Linked DNA regions of Drosophila melanogaster. The protein of the gene in region 1 purifies or fractionates together with the protein of each later gene. This does not show direct contact. Each region holds a gene or a part of one and is shown on either strand. Other genes may lie near its edges.

Region 1 (7,680 bases):
TAATCTAAAGCACGAGTGAATTTACGTGCGTTAAATTTAAACGAAAATTTAAAAAAATATTTCGAGATATTGCAACAAAGGCAGTATTAAATCGATTTCTGGTGCATGTGCTTGTGTGCAGAATGTTTGCATGTGTTTGTTGCAAATGTAAGAAGAAGTAGCCACTCACGCGCTACTCTCTTCCTTTCTCTCTCTCTCCGCCCCCTCCCCATTAGCTCTACAAGCAGCTGAAAGTTGTAGCCGCACTACATTCAAAAGTTTCCAAAAGTCTGCTTGCTGGCAGTAGTAAGAAATAAAGACTTAAAAACAAAAACATCACTTAGTAATATCAGGTATGTATAGAAAAATAAAAGTGCGCGCTCTTGTGAGCATGTCGAGTGTTTGTGTGTGTGTGTGTGTGTGAGTGAGTGGGTGCACAGAATAAGTTCGTACCTAACCTCAATTTCCCCCAACTGATTACGCTAGGCGGCACCACAACTTCCAGTGGTATTAATCATTTTAAAATAATGCATTTGCTGCCTTTTTCCTATTAAATATTTTCCTTGGGGGATAGGATATTAAGTTTTCAAGCTGAATCTTGGATTAAAATTTTGCGGTTGTGTATATTTATGGAAATTGCTCTTATCGCCGTTTTGTATATGTACATTAAAAACAAGGTTCCGCCATCTGTTGGCACGTGTACTTGTGTGGCTGAACATATTTAATTATCTTTGCTTTGATAAAATAAACTTAAAAAAAAAGAAAGAAGTGCCTCAGAAAATAAATAAAAATAAGAAAGCAAGGTATTGAGAACAGCAACAACAATGACGCAGTCACGCACACCACGAAGGCAATAAAGCAGCTATGTGTGTGGCTGTCTGAAAGAGGCAGAGCGCGTTTGCCGCGCTCACCTTTTGTTATTGTTGCGTTCAATCGCTCTAGAACTGCCAACTTGTTAGGATGTTGAAATTTTATGCCAGAATAACTTTGTACGCAAAACCATTCTTTTTTCATAGTTATTTCTTGTTTTGTATAAAAAAATGGAAAATTTATTTAATGTGAAAAAGGTTAATAAAAATTATGCAGTCAAAAATAATACAAAAAATACCGCATCAATAAATATTGAAATAATTTTTTTAAACTCAAATTTCGCTTTTAAAATCAGTTGGCAGCTCAATGTACCCTTTTGGTGCTCGCGTATGTGTGATTGTGCACAAGGTGAGCGAGACAGCAGTTTCAGCCTTCAATTTGCGGGTTTACGTTGATTCTAATTAAATAATTCGTTGAAATCGGGCTCACTGCTTCTGTGAGGTCCAATTGTAATGCACACACACAAACACGTTCTCAGTGCTTTCCTCAAATTTTCTTTGTGAAGCGCCTCAAGTTTCGACTGGCTTTTAAGTCTGGTTTGGTTTTGGCTGTTTGAAAACTTGAAAAACAAGTTACTTCTGAACTCAAACTCCCCAGTTTTGGCAGTCTCTCCACACTTCTCTCGATCTTTCTCCCGAGAAAAAAAAAACACTTGCCGCGTCGCCAACCAATTGTTTGCAATTCGCAATTGTATTTTAGCCAGAGGCCAACGAACAAGTCTCTTGAACTTGATGGTCGGAACGAAGTTGAAGTGTATTAGACGTTGAACACTTTTACACATATTTAGTTGTAACTTTTTCAAGCCTTCATCATTATATTATTAAAACTTGAGTGTTAAACTGTATGTTTAAATATACTATGTTATCATTTCAATAAGTATTGAATTAGTAAACAACACTGAAGCCGTTGTGTTCAATCGTGTAAGCCTATTCCCAAATTTATAATCGTTATTTTAATTTAAAAACCTTTTAATTGCTCTTAATTTTGATCCAACACGCATTTTGGCTCACCGGTAAATTTGTGTATAATCTTTTACATAAAGAAGAGGGTTCTCTAATCCTTAAATGGATTTATAGTTTTGATGAGAATTAATACTAAAGTTAAATATTTTATAGTAAAGTTTTCCATTTACTGTGTTGTCAATTTTTTAGGACAAACAAACAATAAATAACAAAAAGTTTTTATCACATTAAATATCATGTGACTCAAGAGAGTTAAAAACATCTGATAATTTGCAGAACACGTACGAATATCAAACTAATTAGTTTTTTTTATAGAAATGGGTCCGTGTGACAGGAACCTCTTTACCACATTTCAGATATCACTTGATCAGCGTCAGTTAATATTTCCTAGTGCCGCATTCCATGACAGATCTGAAATTAGCACAGGAATAATTAGAACATGCTAGACCACCTGGCTTTATTATCAATAGAAAAAAGCATCAATAATACCCAATGGGAGGGCAAACAAACCTTCCTGCGGCGCCTGGAAGTCGGAGAGTTTGGTTTGTGCCATTTTTTTGTTTGGTCCAGGGACTTTGGTGCACCTCGGACATGCGCTGCACCCAGTAGCTAGTTAGTTGCATGTGAACTTTGAACTTTCGAGCTGGAAAGTGGAAGGCGGATTTGCATTTCCTATCGCTGCAGGTGTCTCACAAAGAGAGAGGCTCTCTCGTATCCTCCGCCCCCGCTGCATTTTTTTCATTGCGCAATGAGCGAGACGAATCGATAACTGCAAGGTTTCCATGTTTTAGCAGCTCAACTTTTGCGCGTATACAGATTTTTTGTCTGTATTATTTTATTTTGTGAAGGAGCTGGCCGCCGAATTCAGTTCGATTCGAGATGGGAACATGTGTTTTTATGGTTCCGCCATTGTCATGGTGAGATGCACTTGCTTTTTTTTGTCTTCATATTTTTACTTCCTCTCTCCGCACGCACGCGTCTGTGTGTGAGTGCGCTGGCGAGTGAGGTGGTGGAGGAGTACATGAGTGTGTAAAGTGTAGCCGTGGCAGAGTTGTAGCTCGCTAGTGGTCCGTTTGGTTTCTGATTTTCGGTTTCGTCGATTTCACATATGTACTGCAATGGTCGGCTAAAACGCTCTGCCGACGTCGCTATCTGCTGTATACTCGTTGCGCTTGTGTGGGTGCGCTGCTCTCACACCCGCTCTCTCTCTTTGGCTCAAACAGGGTGTCTTACCCAGATGTTCTGATCATCGTTTCCACCACATGGCTGGGTGACAATGGTACACCCTGTTTTCTAAACAACTTGTTTTCTCTCTTCCCAGCGTTGTTGTTGGTCCTCGCACTTACGTAAGCCTCACGTATTTCGTTTCTTATCCAAATTCTAAGCGCCATTTTGCGACTATTTGCATGCGGTACCGCTCACCGCTAATAAAAATAACCACTGATTGTGATTATTTGCTAATAGGTAATGAATGGTATATAAACTATTTTTGCCGTCAGCTACTGATGTGTTTTCAACGCGCTCGACGGAGGATTTTAGTTGTTGCGCCGTTGAGTTGCCACCCTGTTTTAGCTGCGGCAGCAGAATAAAATGAATTCCAAAGCAACACTGCGCGCGCGCTCTCACGCTCTCCGTTTTACACTCATTTCGCTCTCTCTGCTGACTCCAAATGACTGGCCGTCGCGTTTCGCTGTTTTAATCGAAAATGTTTGCGGCGGCGTTGAGATGTACGAAAACGTTCTCTCGCCAAAAATTTGTGAATAGAATAGCAGTAGCAATCTATCGAGAAGAAAATGTCTTAAATTCGAGCCGTGTGATCTAGTTAAGGTCTTAGAGCCAAGTGCAAATTGATTGAAATAAGCGTTAAACTTAAACTGAACTGGAGAACGAAGCCCCAGCTACTGAAAGAAAAGAAAACGGTGAAAATAAAGATTTCGGTGTGCCAGTGAGTGCGAATATAGTAGTTGCATGTGCAAAATACTGCGTAAAACGTGAAAGTTTCCAATAACACCACAAAACCAACGGCAGTTTTGTAGTAAATATACATACGCGCCCCGTACATATATACATACATTTCGAATATACATACACACAGCCGAATATCAACCGACGAAGCTAACTGCTTATTGCTGATGTAAGTGTAATATGGGCGGTGGGCGGTTGTGGGGGGCGTGAAAATTGCAGAGTAGCATTATCCTTCAAGTGCACTTGGAGTGCGGATTCGAGTTCAAACAATATTTTCGTTCGTGCCACTGAAAACTTGTGAAAATACAACATTTTTAGGTTAGGTCAATTTCAATTGGTTTATATACACACGCACGCACAAACTCACACACACACAAACAACAATGGCATAGCGAATACATATAGAAGGCGCACAGACAAAAAGTCGTCGACGGGGACGTGGTTGTTGTTTGTGTTGCTGCTGCTGCTGCCTCTACAGTTTCTGCTCTCCTCACACACAGTTGAACACAGTTGTGGAGAGGAGAGCCACACTCATACATACGCTTTGAACCATTGCTTTTGGTTCGCTTATGAACTGACTGTATTTTTTCAACGTAGTGTCGTTTTATTTTCGTTGTTGATTCGTTCTTTGCTCAGTTCGTGCGCTTATCTTGACTTTTGCTTTGATGCGCCATTCGCATGTACTGGCGAGAGCAGCCTAGTGTGAGTGTGCATTTAAATGGCTCCCCAATGAGAGCATCATTTTGTGGCCCTCTTTTTGTTCAGATCTTCCTTTTGCTCCTCTTCTTCATGCTCCCCAGCCCATCCGTCGTTTGTTGTTCTTGCTCCGCCTGTTTTTTTTCATTCGGTTTTGAATTTACACAAAACGTTTGCCGTTGCTTCTTCATGCTGAAATAGTATATATGTATGTGAATATATTGTACATATTTCTCTACACATCCATATGTTTTATTTGCAAAATTTATTAATAGCGCAGCGCCACTCCGCGGCTGTGTTAGTGCGCCAGAGTGAGAAAGTAACAGTAAAAAACTAAATATTAATTCGCGTTGATTCCGATTCGTATTGCAGTTGTTCAAAACCGAGTGCTAGTGATATTTGCAAAAAATTTAACATATTTTCCGCTGGCTGCCTTTTGTGTTGCGTATTCTGCTGTGCTGTGTATACACATAACAAAACAGATAAGATAACATTATACGTGTGCACGTAATAGAGCGGGCTGAATCAAAAAAAAAAAAAAAGAAAAAATGGAGGGAAAATTTGCCCACATGTCTCCCCAAAGCACACACACGCACACAACGCCCCAATTTGGAGCCTCTCTCGTCAAACACTCACACACACCAGCAAGCGAGTAAATGTGTTTGGTATGCACTAATGGCGGATCCAAAAATACAATAACAACAAAGACAGTTGGGAGAGCTCAAAAGAGCGAACTTGTTTTACCTTCATTTATTAAAGGATAGTTGGTGGTGGCAGAGACAGGAGAGAGAACGAGGGCTAAAGCTTTTGTGCGGCTGTACTGTGCTCCAATATTTGTTTACAAATGCTAAAAGGGGGCAGCTGTTGGTTCGATGGGGTGTTTCAATTAGTTGGAGCAGGATGATCCTCTAGGCGGTTTCCATTCACCTAATATTTGCTCGCGGTCTTTGGTTTGCGCAGCGTTGCGCTCTCTTCATTTTTGCCGCTCTCTCTCTCGAATGCCCGCCAAATGCTTGCTGTGTCCGTGTGTGAGTTTGGCCCCAAACGGGTGAAATACCTTTTTGAAAAAAAAAAAATCATCCATATACTGCGCCTCAACAACAAATGCGGCTCTCTCTGGTTCTCTCTGTGGCTGCACCACCACCACCGTATCGCCACCACCACCTTTGCATTGTTGCGTTTGCTGCTGCTGTTACCTCTGACTCTTCTTCTTCTTATTCTTGTAAGTTGTAGATACAGAACATGTACCAGCAGCTCTCACACACCACCCGCCCGCCCCCTTGGCGGTATCGATATATAAATATTTTCTATGTGTGCGTCTGAATTCTATGCAAGCCGATGTCGTGCATGGGGCATTTGGCACCTTCCACATTCACAAATACTGATATGTACACACATACACACACACTCGGAGGTGTACACAGAAAGCTCGCTTAGGAAGTTTTTACTGTACCGCTGAAAGCAATAACAAAGCGCGCGCCCAATTCCGGTTGAACGTACACACACTAAAGTGAATTACGCGCTCCTCCTTATGCCTTGCACTCACTCTCCTCCAAGACTCAACTTCCACTCCACGATCTCCTTCCCGTCTATATGTATCAATCTCTGGTTGCTGTTGTTGTTATTGGTCACAGCTCCACTGCTTCATTCCATTCCTATTGTCCCTCATCTCACTCTTCTCCCCCGAATCCAGAACACCCAATACAGAGACACCGTTCTCCACTCTGTAGTTTTTGTGATACGGCTAAAAGAAGAATTCCCCCGTGGCTTTTTAGTTCACCTTTTTTCTTGTTGAAATATGCAATCGTTCCGATATCTGTGAAGATATAGACCGAATTGATCAATCAGCTGTGCTATACTAGCTAACATGTTTTGGGAAAATTAGCAAGACTCGTGGTCTTTAATATATGGAAAAGTATATTTGGCATATTTGTCCTTTCATTTCAGTGTCAGTGAATAAATTCTAGTATTAATGTGTAAGATTGTTCCAGTAATGCAGAATTTAATGATGACTAACTTCATTAAAAATAGACCCAAACCTAATTCTTGGGGGTTTTTATACATTTAATGTCGACATTATTGTATGACCGTTTCCCTTCTCTTGCTTTGCTTGCAGTGATATTCAGAAAGAACTCCAAACGCTACGTGGCAGAGGCGAATCACCGGCGCAGCAACACCAGCAGCAGATAACCAGCCGTCAGTCCAATTTCTCTACCTTAGAACTCGAGCGCATTTGCCGCTTGCGGGGCGACCAAATGCATAGACAACATATGTCGCATTCACGAGCAGTCCAAGATCAAGAGTTGCGACCCCGACCGTTTGTTGCATATTACATACGCTCATAGAGGGCGGCCACTCACCTAGAGCAGCCAGAGTCCTTGCACTTGGGCAGGGATCCAGGGAGCAACAAAGTGCTTAGAAAGAAGAAGCAGCAGCACAGGATTATACGCTCCGCCGAGGACAGAGCAACAAAAAAGATGATGAAACGCACTCGCGTAGACGAGGTGCAATTTGGCACACGACCCGTTCCTCAGACCTCCGGAGGTGTGGGCGTTGGTGTCGTCGGCGTAACTGGAGGTGGGCCAACATCCGGCGGCGGTGGCACTGCTACTGTGGGCGTCAATACGACGGGCGTTACCATTGGTACCGTCGTGCCCAGTGCTCATAACGCCACCATCAGCGGGATCGGTTCCATTCACCATCGCATCCTTACTCCACAGCATGGAGGAGCACAAACCATTGCCTATTTGCCGTCCACCACGCCGACGGCTACGAATTTGAAGACCACAACCTCGATTGTGGATAGCACTACCGCTGGAGGACCAGTAGGAGCAGGAGCACAGGTGGCCGTAGGAGTTGGCTCTGCAGCCGGCGGAGGAGGCGTGGTGGTCTCCACAGGGAGCACGGGAACGCAAACATTACAGTATACAACATGTAAGTAATCTATTTCAAACTCTGATGAAATACGTTTGACATTCAAATGATTTATTTTCTTGATCATATAGCTTATAGTGTGGCTTCGATACAGGCTGGTGGAACTCTGAAAGCCAACACAGCGGATGGCGCGAACACGGTACAGATTCATGTCACAGGAGGAGGAGCTGCAAACAATCCTGCCAGTGCACAGACTGTTTCCAGCAGCTCACAAACGGGCACAATCCGTCAGCGTACAATCAGCGGCACCCAGACAGTGGCCACTGCAGTGGGT
Region 2 (6,701 bases), on another chromosome or scaffold:
TGCTGTAGCCCGGATGCGTGTAGTTCCACAGGCACGGCTGATTCTCCACGAACTGCACGAACCGCACATTGAAAACGGGATCGTCCTTGCGCGCCATTGCGACCCAGCACATGCCTCTGTCTGTCTCGCTCGCTCGCACACGCACGCACGCCGCCAACTAGAACGGTGAATCGCACATGCAGTTATTCCAGGAGCGCTGCTCTGCAGACGGTGCAGATGGCGGGGGGCGCGAACGAAAAGAGGCAAAACAAAACAAAGGGGGCGACACAGAAAAAAAGGGGAGGGGGCGCGGCAATAGAATTGCAAGTGCAAGTGCAACTGCTCGCAGCAAACGCGCAACCAAAACTGCGCGCAAATTGCAAATTGCAAACTGCAAATAGCAAATAGCAACAAAAGCTGCAGCGCAAACACTTTATGCTGGCACAAAACAGCAGCAACAACAAGTGGCAATCGCTGAGTCTCACGAACAGCGAATACCCTACACCGCTGAAAGGCAGCAAGATCTACACTGAAACATAATTAGCAGGATATTGCAATGGAGCACATCTGAATAAATCGAATGTAAAGGTGTACAGAGCAGCATCTATATACACTAACCAGAAATAATATATTTATATTGATATTTATTCGCCGAATAATGAAATTTCCCAAAGATAATCAAAAGATCACACAATTTTTCATACTATTTACTAATCCTATAAACTCAAGGTGATCGTAATCGAAGTGTTTATTTCTCTTTAATTGTATTTTTTGCACATTTCAACGGTTACTAAAATTATATCGACAACTTTGCGACTATTTCGATATACCCCGATGACTCCGCGATTACCGCATATCGAAAAACTCAACGGCGAACAACAGCTGCAATAAAATTGTATAAGCTAAGCAATTCAAATGCCGCACTTGCAACGCTTGTGTGTGTGCAGGCGCTTCTGTGTGTGTGCGTGTGTGATTAAAGCTTTGGCGATGACGTCACACGCTGCATTTGTTGCATGCGATGCTAAAGTGATGAAGACAAAAGCAATCAAAGACAAAACGCAAATTAGGCTAAAATGTTTGAGCTTGTAGAAATTAAGCTGAATGGTGTACGTGCAGCTAAATTCCAAGATCGTTTAATGCATGATCATATAATATAGTGTTTATTTAATTAAATTTACTAAAAACTGGGCGGAAATGATTAATTTTCCTCAGTTTTAGAAAAAAGTAGATAAATTCGCTAAGCAATAGGCCATTTAAGCCATGTTTCGAAATAAAATCAAATTTAACCTGATGTTAATTAATTAACTAATTAAATATTTGACTGTTGTCATTGCACCTAATTTTTTGACTATTTACATTTTTAAATATTTTTTAGCTTGAAAATCGGTGCTTTGTACAAAACGAAGTCGATAGCTTCTAGCCAAGTTAAGTAATCGAAACAATTATCGCTACCATTTGCGCATCACTAACCAGCCAGTGCATATGTAACAACTATTTTTTGTATTTCTTGGGAAATCTGTTAGTTTTTAGCCAAAAAACATGGCAACAAGCGCCAAACTGATGCTAGGCAGCGGCCTCTGCCAAAAGCTAAGCCAGGTGAGCAGATAAACCAAAGGATTCCAGTAAAAAATCACCTAAAATCTGTTTTTATTTCACGCAGCTTACCAGGCAAATACACATGCAACCGGCACTTATGTCCAGTTTTCGTTCATCCCGCGAAGTTCAGGAGCTGGACAAGTATCCTGAAGTGGAGGTGGTGGCCAATCCGCCCGAGTGGCGTTTTGTGGAGCGCTTGCTACCAGCGAAGACAGTACCACAGCCGGTGGAGAAGCCAAAATATCCATCCGGCTGGCAGCCACAAAAGGAGGATGGCTCAGAACTGGGTTACCATGTGGCCAGGACGAAGAATCACATGGTGCCCGTGTATCTGCACACCAGGTTCCGTGGCCAGCGCCGGATCACGGTGGTGCGACGCGTCCAAGGAGACATTTGGACGCTGGAAAAGGATCTGCGTGCGGTGGTGGAGCAGTCGCGAAACGGCAAGGTCTGCGCCACGAGAATCAATGAGCTGAGCGGTCAGATACACTTCCATGGTGACCACGTGGACGTCCTGCGTGACTATCTCAAGGAGAAGGGCTTCTGAAGGTCCACAAATGAACCGTCTGTGCCGCAATAAAAGCTTTTCTGTTGATTTAAATCATGTGGGATTTGTGTTCTTCTGTCTCGCCTCACCTAAGGCGGCTTACCCACATTGTGACCTCCTACCCATAGTATCCAAGTCTGGATAACAAAACTGCTGGCCTTCCGGAGATTGAATCACTCGCAGGCAATCGAATTAAATTTATGTTGAACGCATGCCCACTTGGCTGCAGTTCGCTTTTATTTGCACTTATCTTTTAGCATAAATTACATACATCGTCTGTATGGGGGAGGGGAGAGACACACACACACACACACACACACAATATTCTGAGAGTGGGACTCGTACAAACTACGTACGTACTAAAATCTACGGGAAAAGGAGGTGAGGATGGGTGGCGGAGCTTAGCCATTTTGATGAACGCATTTGAAGTCTGGTTCGGGGGCTCTGCTACGGCTACTACTGATACATAAACGTCTACGGCTGCTGCTTCCTCGGGCGCGGCCGTCAGGTACGCGTCATGTGGGCGTAGGCGGCAGCTGCCACGCCCCAACGCTATCCGCTAGCTCCTGCCATTGCTGGCAAACCGGACAGGCTAACGCTTACGCCGGAAGTGGGCGTAACTGTGCCAGCAGCGGTGGCCGACGAGGAGGATCGCTTGAGGGCCTTGCGTATAATCGTCCAGTCCTCCATGATATCCTCCTCGCGCAGCATGTACACGACATAGGGACCCGTGACGGTGACGGCCTTCTTGCGACCCGGTCCGCGCACCTTGCTCTGCCGCTTGTCGGTGCCCCAGTCGGCCCACGAGATGTCCACGTTGTGGCGATCCTCCTCCAGGCGACGGATGCGCTCCATGAACTCCTCGCGCAGATTGTCCAATGCCATGTGTTTCTCGCTCTGCAACGGAAAAGTTGTGAGTTGCAAGAGGATACATTAACAACTACTTCTACGCTTAAGTTAAGCCATCATTTGTCTTAAATCGTTAATATATGGCCTATAAGTGAGTGACATTTTGTGTTGTAATTAGCTTTGGCAGTGTCGCCCCCAGTGCCTTATCAACACGAAAGCCAATCTAATTGCGACGATATGGTGGCCAATTAGCTCTTCTCATTTTTGGCGCCAAAAATCGAGATTGGTTATGTACCTCAAAGTGCTGGACGGCAGCTTGTTCCTCGGACTGGTATTTGTGCTCGATATTCTGCAGTCGGTACTTGCGCAGGACGTCCGCCACCTCGATCCTGGTGCGATACTTCTTGTCCAGTTCCTTTTGCGGCTGGACAAACTCCTCGGAACGCCCGGAACGCACCTCGGCCAATTGTCGTTCGATGAGATTGATGCGCTCGACGTAGTACTGTTCCCGCAACTCGTTAAATTGGCGCTCCAAGCTCACTGTGTCAAGGAAAGAAGAAACTCGATGAGTATGGCTTGTGTTAAGTGTGTACGTACTGATTCCTACGCAAATCCTCGATGTGCTCTGCCCGCCGGCGGTCTATTTCACTGGCATCCAACTCGGAGGAGTCATCCGAATCGCATTCGTTGGCCTCCTCCTCGTCGGAGGTGTCGTGTGGCTGGCTGGAATTCGAGTGCTCCGATTCTCCGCCAGAAACGTCGCCTTCGCCATCGGATTCGCCATTCTTCACGGGCATTTCAGAGTGGATTTTGCGGTTCTCCTTGTTCTCGGCGTATTCCGATTCGGCAATGGACTGCAGGTGGCCGCCGGTATAAGCGCGATATCTTTTTTTGTTTGCTTTCGACAATCGGGGAGTGTGGAAACTGTGGAAAACTCTGTGGAAAAACACTAAACTGTGTGCTGTATCAAAAAAAGTATGACCGCACGTAAGAGTGTTGGGCAATTTAGTGTTGGTCAACGCAAGCGGAGCATCTAGCTGAGTGGCTACAAAATAGCTAAATCTGCGAAAAATATTATTCATTAAGTTAAACACATTAAAATATTAATGTATCATTGAATTTGAAGTAACCTGGACCACTAAAATAAGAGAAAATAAATTTGGAATTTACCCATGTAACTATTTAAATATAAAAATGTTACAATATTTTTGTTTGATGAAAAATAATGATATTAACTCTGTCGTAAATTAAATTATAAATAGAAGGTCATGGAAGTAATTTCCGATATTTAGATTAAAGGAATACATCTTTAAAATATGGTTCATTCCCATATAATATTGTGGACTTATTTGAAATAGCCAAATCTAGGCATTTTCGGCTGCTCAGCCCCACCGCCGTCTGCCATCTCTAGCTGACGAATGCAGTCGCCAGCTGATGTTCGTACGCCTATCGATAACCGATAAGCCATCGCTGCCAGCAGATATTTTTTTGGGCCAAGTGCAAAATACGTGTAATATTTACAATTAGCAAAACGAAACCAATCTAGTCGAGCCGAAATCTAAATGGAGACACCCATGGCCGATGACCTGTTGCAGTTCCGCGACTACAGCGGCGGTGCCCCGGCCCAAATCAATGTCAATTCCCCTACGCACGGCGGATCGGGTGGTTCTGGTGGTGGCTCTGCTGGTTCCGGCGGCTCCGTTGGCGGTGGTGGTGCCAACGCACAGCGTCAACGCGGCGATCCGCTGGCGGATCTCATCTATGACATGACCTCCTCGGCCCAGGGATTCTCCGGAGCTGCATCCTCGGGCGGCTCCCAGCCGCAGAACTCATCGCTGGACGGATCCGCCGGCGGTGGAGGCGGTGGTGCGAAACTATCACTGTTTACGATCGAGTACTACCAGCAGTTCTTCAACGTGGACACCTATATGGTGCTCGAGCGAATCGCCAACTCCATGATACCCAAACGGGCCTCTGGCAACTATCTGCGCATGAACATCGGCGAGAATCCGGATCTATATGGACCCTTCTGGATAACCGTCACCCTGGTCGGTAGCTTTGAAGTTTTAACAACTCCAAAAGTGGAACTAACTCTTTCCATTTGCATTTCAGATCTTTTCCATAGCAATAAGTGGTAATATTGCCAGCTATTTGCAGCAAGCCACTGATGCGTACAAATGGCACTACAACTTCCATCTGGTCTCCTATGCGGCTACGTCCATCTTCTTGTATGCCAATATCTTGCCAGCCGTTCTGTGGGCCCTCTTCAAGTACAGCCTGAAGCCTGTGGACTCCGCTGATGCCGTGGAAACGGACAGCGTAAGTTGCATTGGCATTCCCATCCATCCATCCATCTCGCTCATATTCGGGTTTTTTATTGCAGGCCAGCTACATGCCGAGCCTCTTGTCGCTGATGTGCATCTATGGATACAGTTTGGCCATTTATATACCAGTCTCCATTCTCTGGGTGATCAATGTAAGATAATTCTCTATAAATTTTGTGATTCGGCAGAAGATTTTGCTTGAATGCTTGCTATTAGCTTATTTTTATTGCGTGTCTTGACTATATCTGTACTGCTCATTTTACTGCAACTTTTGAACTATCTCATGCTAACTTTAATGCCAGATTCAATGATATTTCAAAGTTTTAAACAGTAATCTGGTTTGCTATCTTCATTAGTTTTCCACCTGAGCAGACATTATGCATAGTTTATAGGAACTTATATATTTTCTACCTTCTAATTGCCACATGTTTACCCCAATCTTTTGCAGATCTCTCTGCTGCAGTGGCTCCTGGTGATCACCGCCGCCTTGCTTTCGGGCACGGTTTTGATTGCGGTGCTAACGCCAGCGCTGCGCAACTCGCAATTCTCGCTGTTCCTCATCGTTGGAATCCTGAGTGCACATGTGGTGCTGGCCGCCGGATTTCTGCTCTATTTCTTTCACAATCCCACAGTCCCGTCGCTGGATCCAGTTGCTCCGACACCAGCTGCACCTGCTGCTCCGGCTGCTCTGAAAGCCGTGACGCAGGCGGTTGTCAACGCAGTGCCCGGCAATCAGACCCACTAGGATGCATTCCGCGAGAAACCAGTTCGTCAACGTCGCTGAACTAAGCTGTAAATTAAGTTGTCCCTATTTTTATATTCGCTAGAGAGCTGATCACGTTGGTTCCAGCTTCGTGGTTTGTATTCACTTTCAATAACTTTTTCGCGACTGTATATTCATATTATCTTAAAGGTAGATGTACGTGTAATACCAAAAAAAAAAAGAAAACATAAATATAACAAAAATATCAACACAGAAACAAAAGAATCGCTAGAACTTTTCGCTGGAGTAGTAGAAAATTAAATAAATTTTTCGAAATATTTAGGAAAGACAGAAGAATATGTTAATCATGCCATCATTAAAAGAAAAAGTGTAAATATAATCGAAAGTATAACCAAAATGAGTTTTCACTTGGGCATTTGCTGGCTATTTGAATATAATTTATAAATCAAAAGATGTGCATAATTTTGCTGGCATTCTCTTTGGGTAAAACAAAACCATTATACTTTTCCCATCAGCGGCCATATGGAGAAAGTCCTTTGAGAAAGAGAAATGGACAGGAATGGGGATGCTGGGCTTGCTTATGGTTTCCTTTTCGCTTCGCTTGTTTTTTGGACTTGCCTTTTTGGGCGCATGCATGGATTTTTGGCCAGCTTCTTTGGTGGTAGTGTCGCCCGCACACATA

What was found. Proteins that work in one complex are often made in the same cells at the same time.
Region 2: the proteins of Sin3A (region 1) and Brms1 purify together in Drosophila melanogaster (affinity purification with mass spectrometry, with the first as the bait; 2 studies listed by BioGRID). This does not show direct contact.

Annotation. Positions count from the first base shown.
Region 1 is NT_033778.4:12,584,981-12,592,660, reverse strand, and holds the start of Sin3A (Sin3A), read left to right. Parts: upstream 1-3,508; 5' UTR 3,509-3,945; intron 3,946-6,588; 5' UTR 6,589-6,949; coding exon 6,950-7,406; intron 7,407-7,477; coding exon 7,478-7,680.
Region 2 is NC_004354.4:12,905,670-12,912,370, forward strand, and holds Brms1 (BRMS1 transcriptional repressor), read right to left. Parts: upstream 3,954-6,701; 5' UTR 3,769-3,953; coding exon 3,579-3,768; intron 3,512-3,578; coding exon 3,267-3,511; intron 3,020-3,266; coding exon 2,675-3,019; 3' UTR 2,317-2,674; downstream 1-2,316. Other genes in the region: CG4404 (uncharacterized protein), read right to left, coding at 1-112; mRpL49 (mitochondrial ribosomal protein L49), read left to right, coding at 1,519-1,575, 1,640-2,122; CG4645 (uncharacterized protein), read left to right, coding at 4,534-5,019, 5,084-5,290, 5,355-5,447, 5,744-6,040.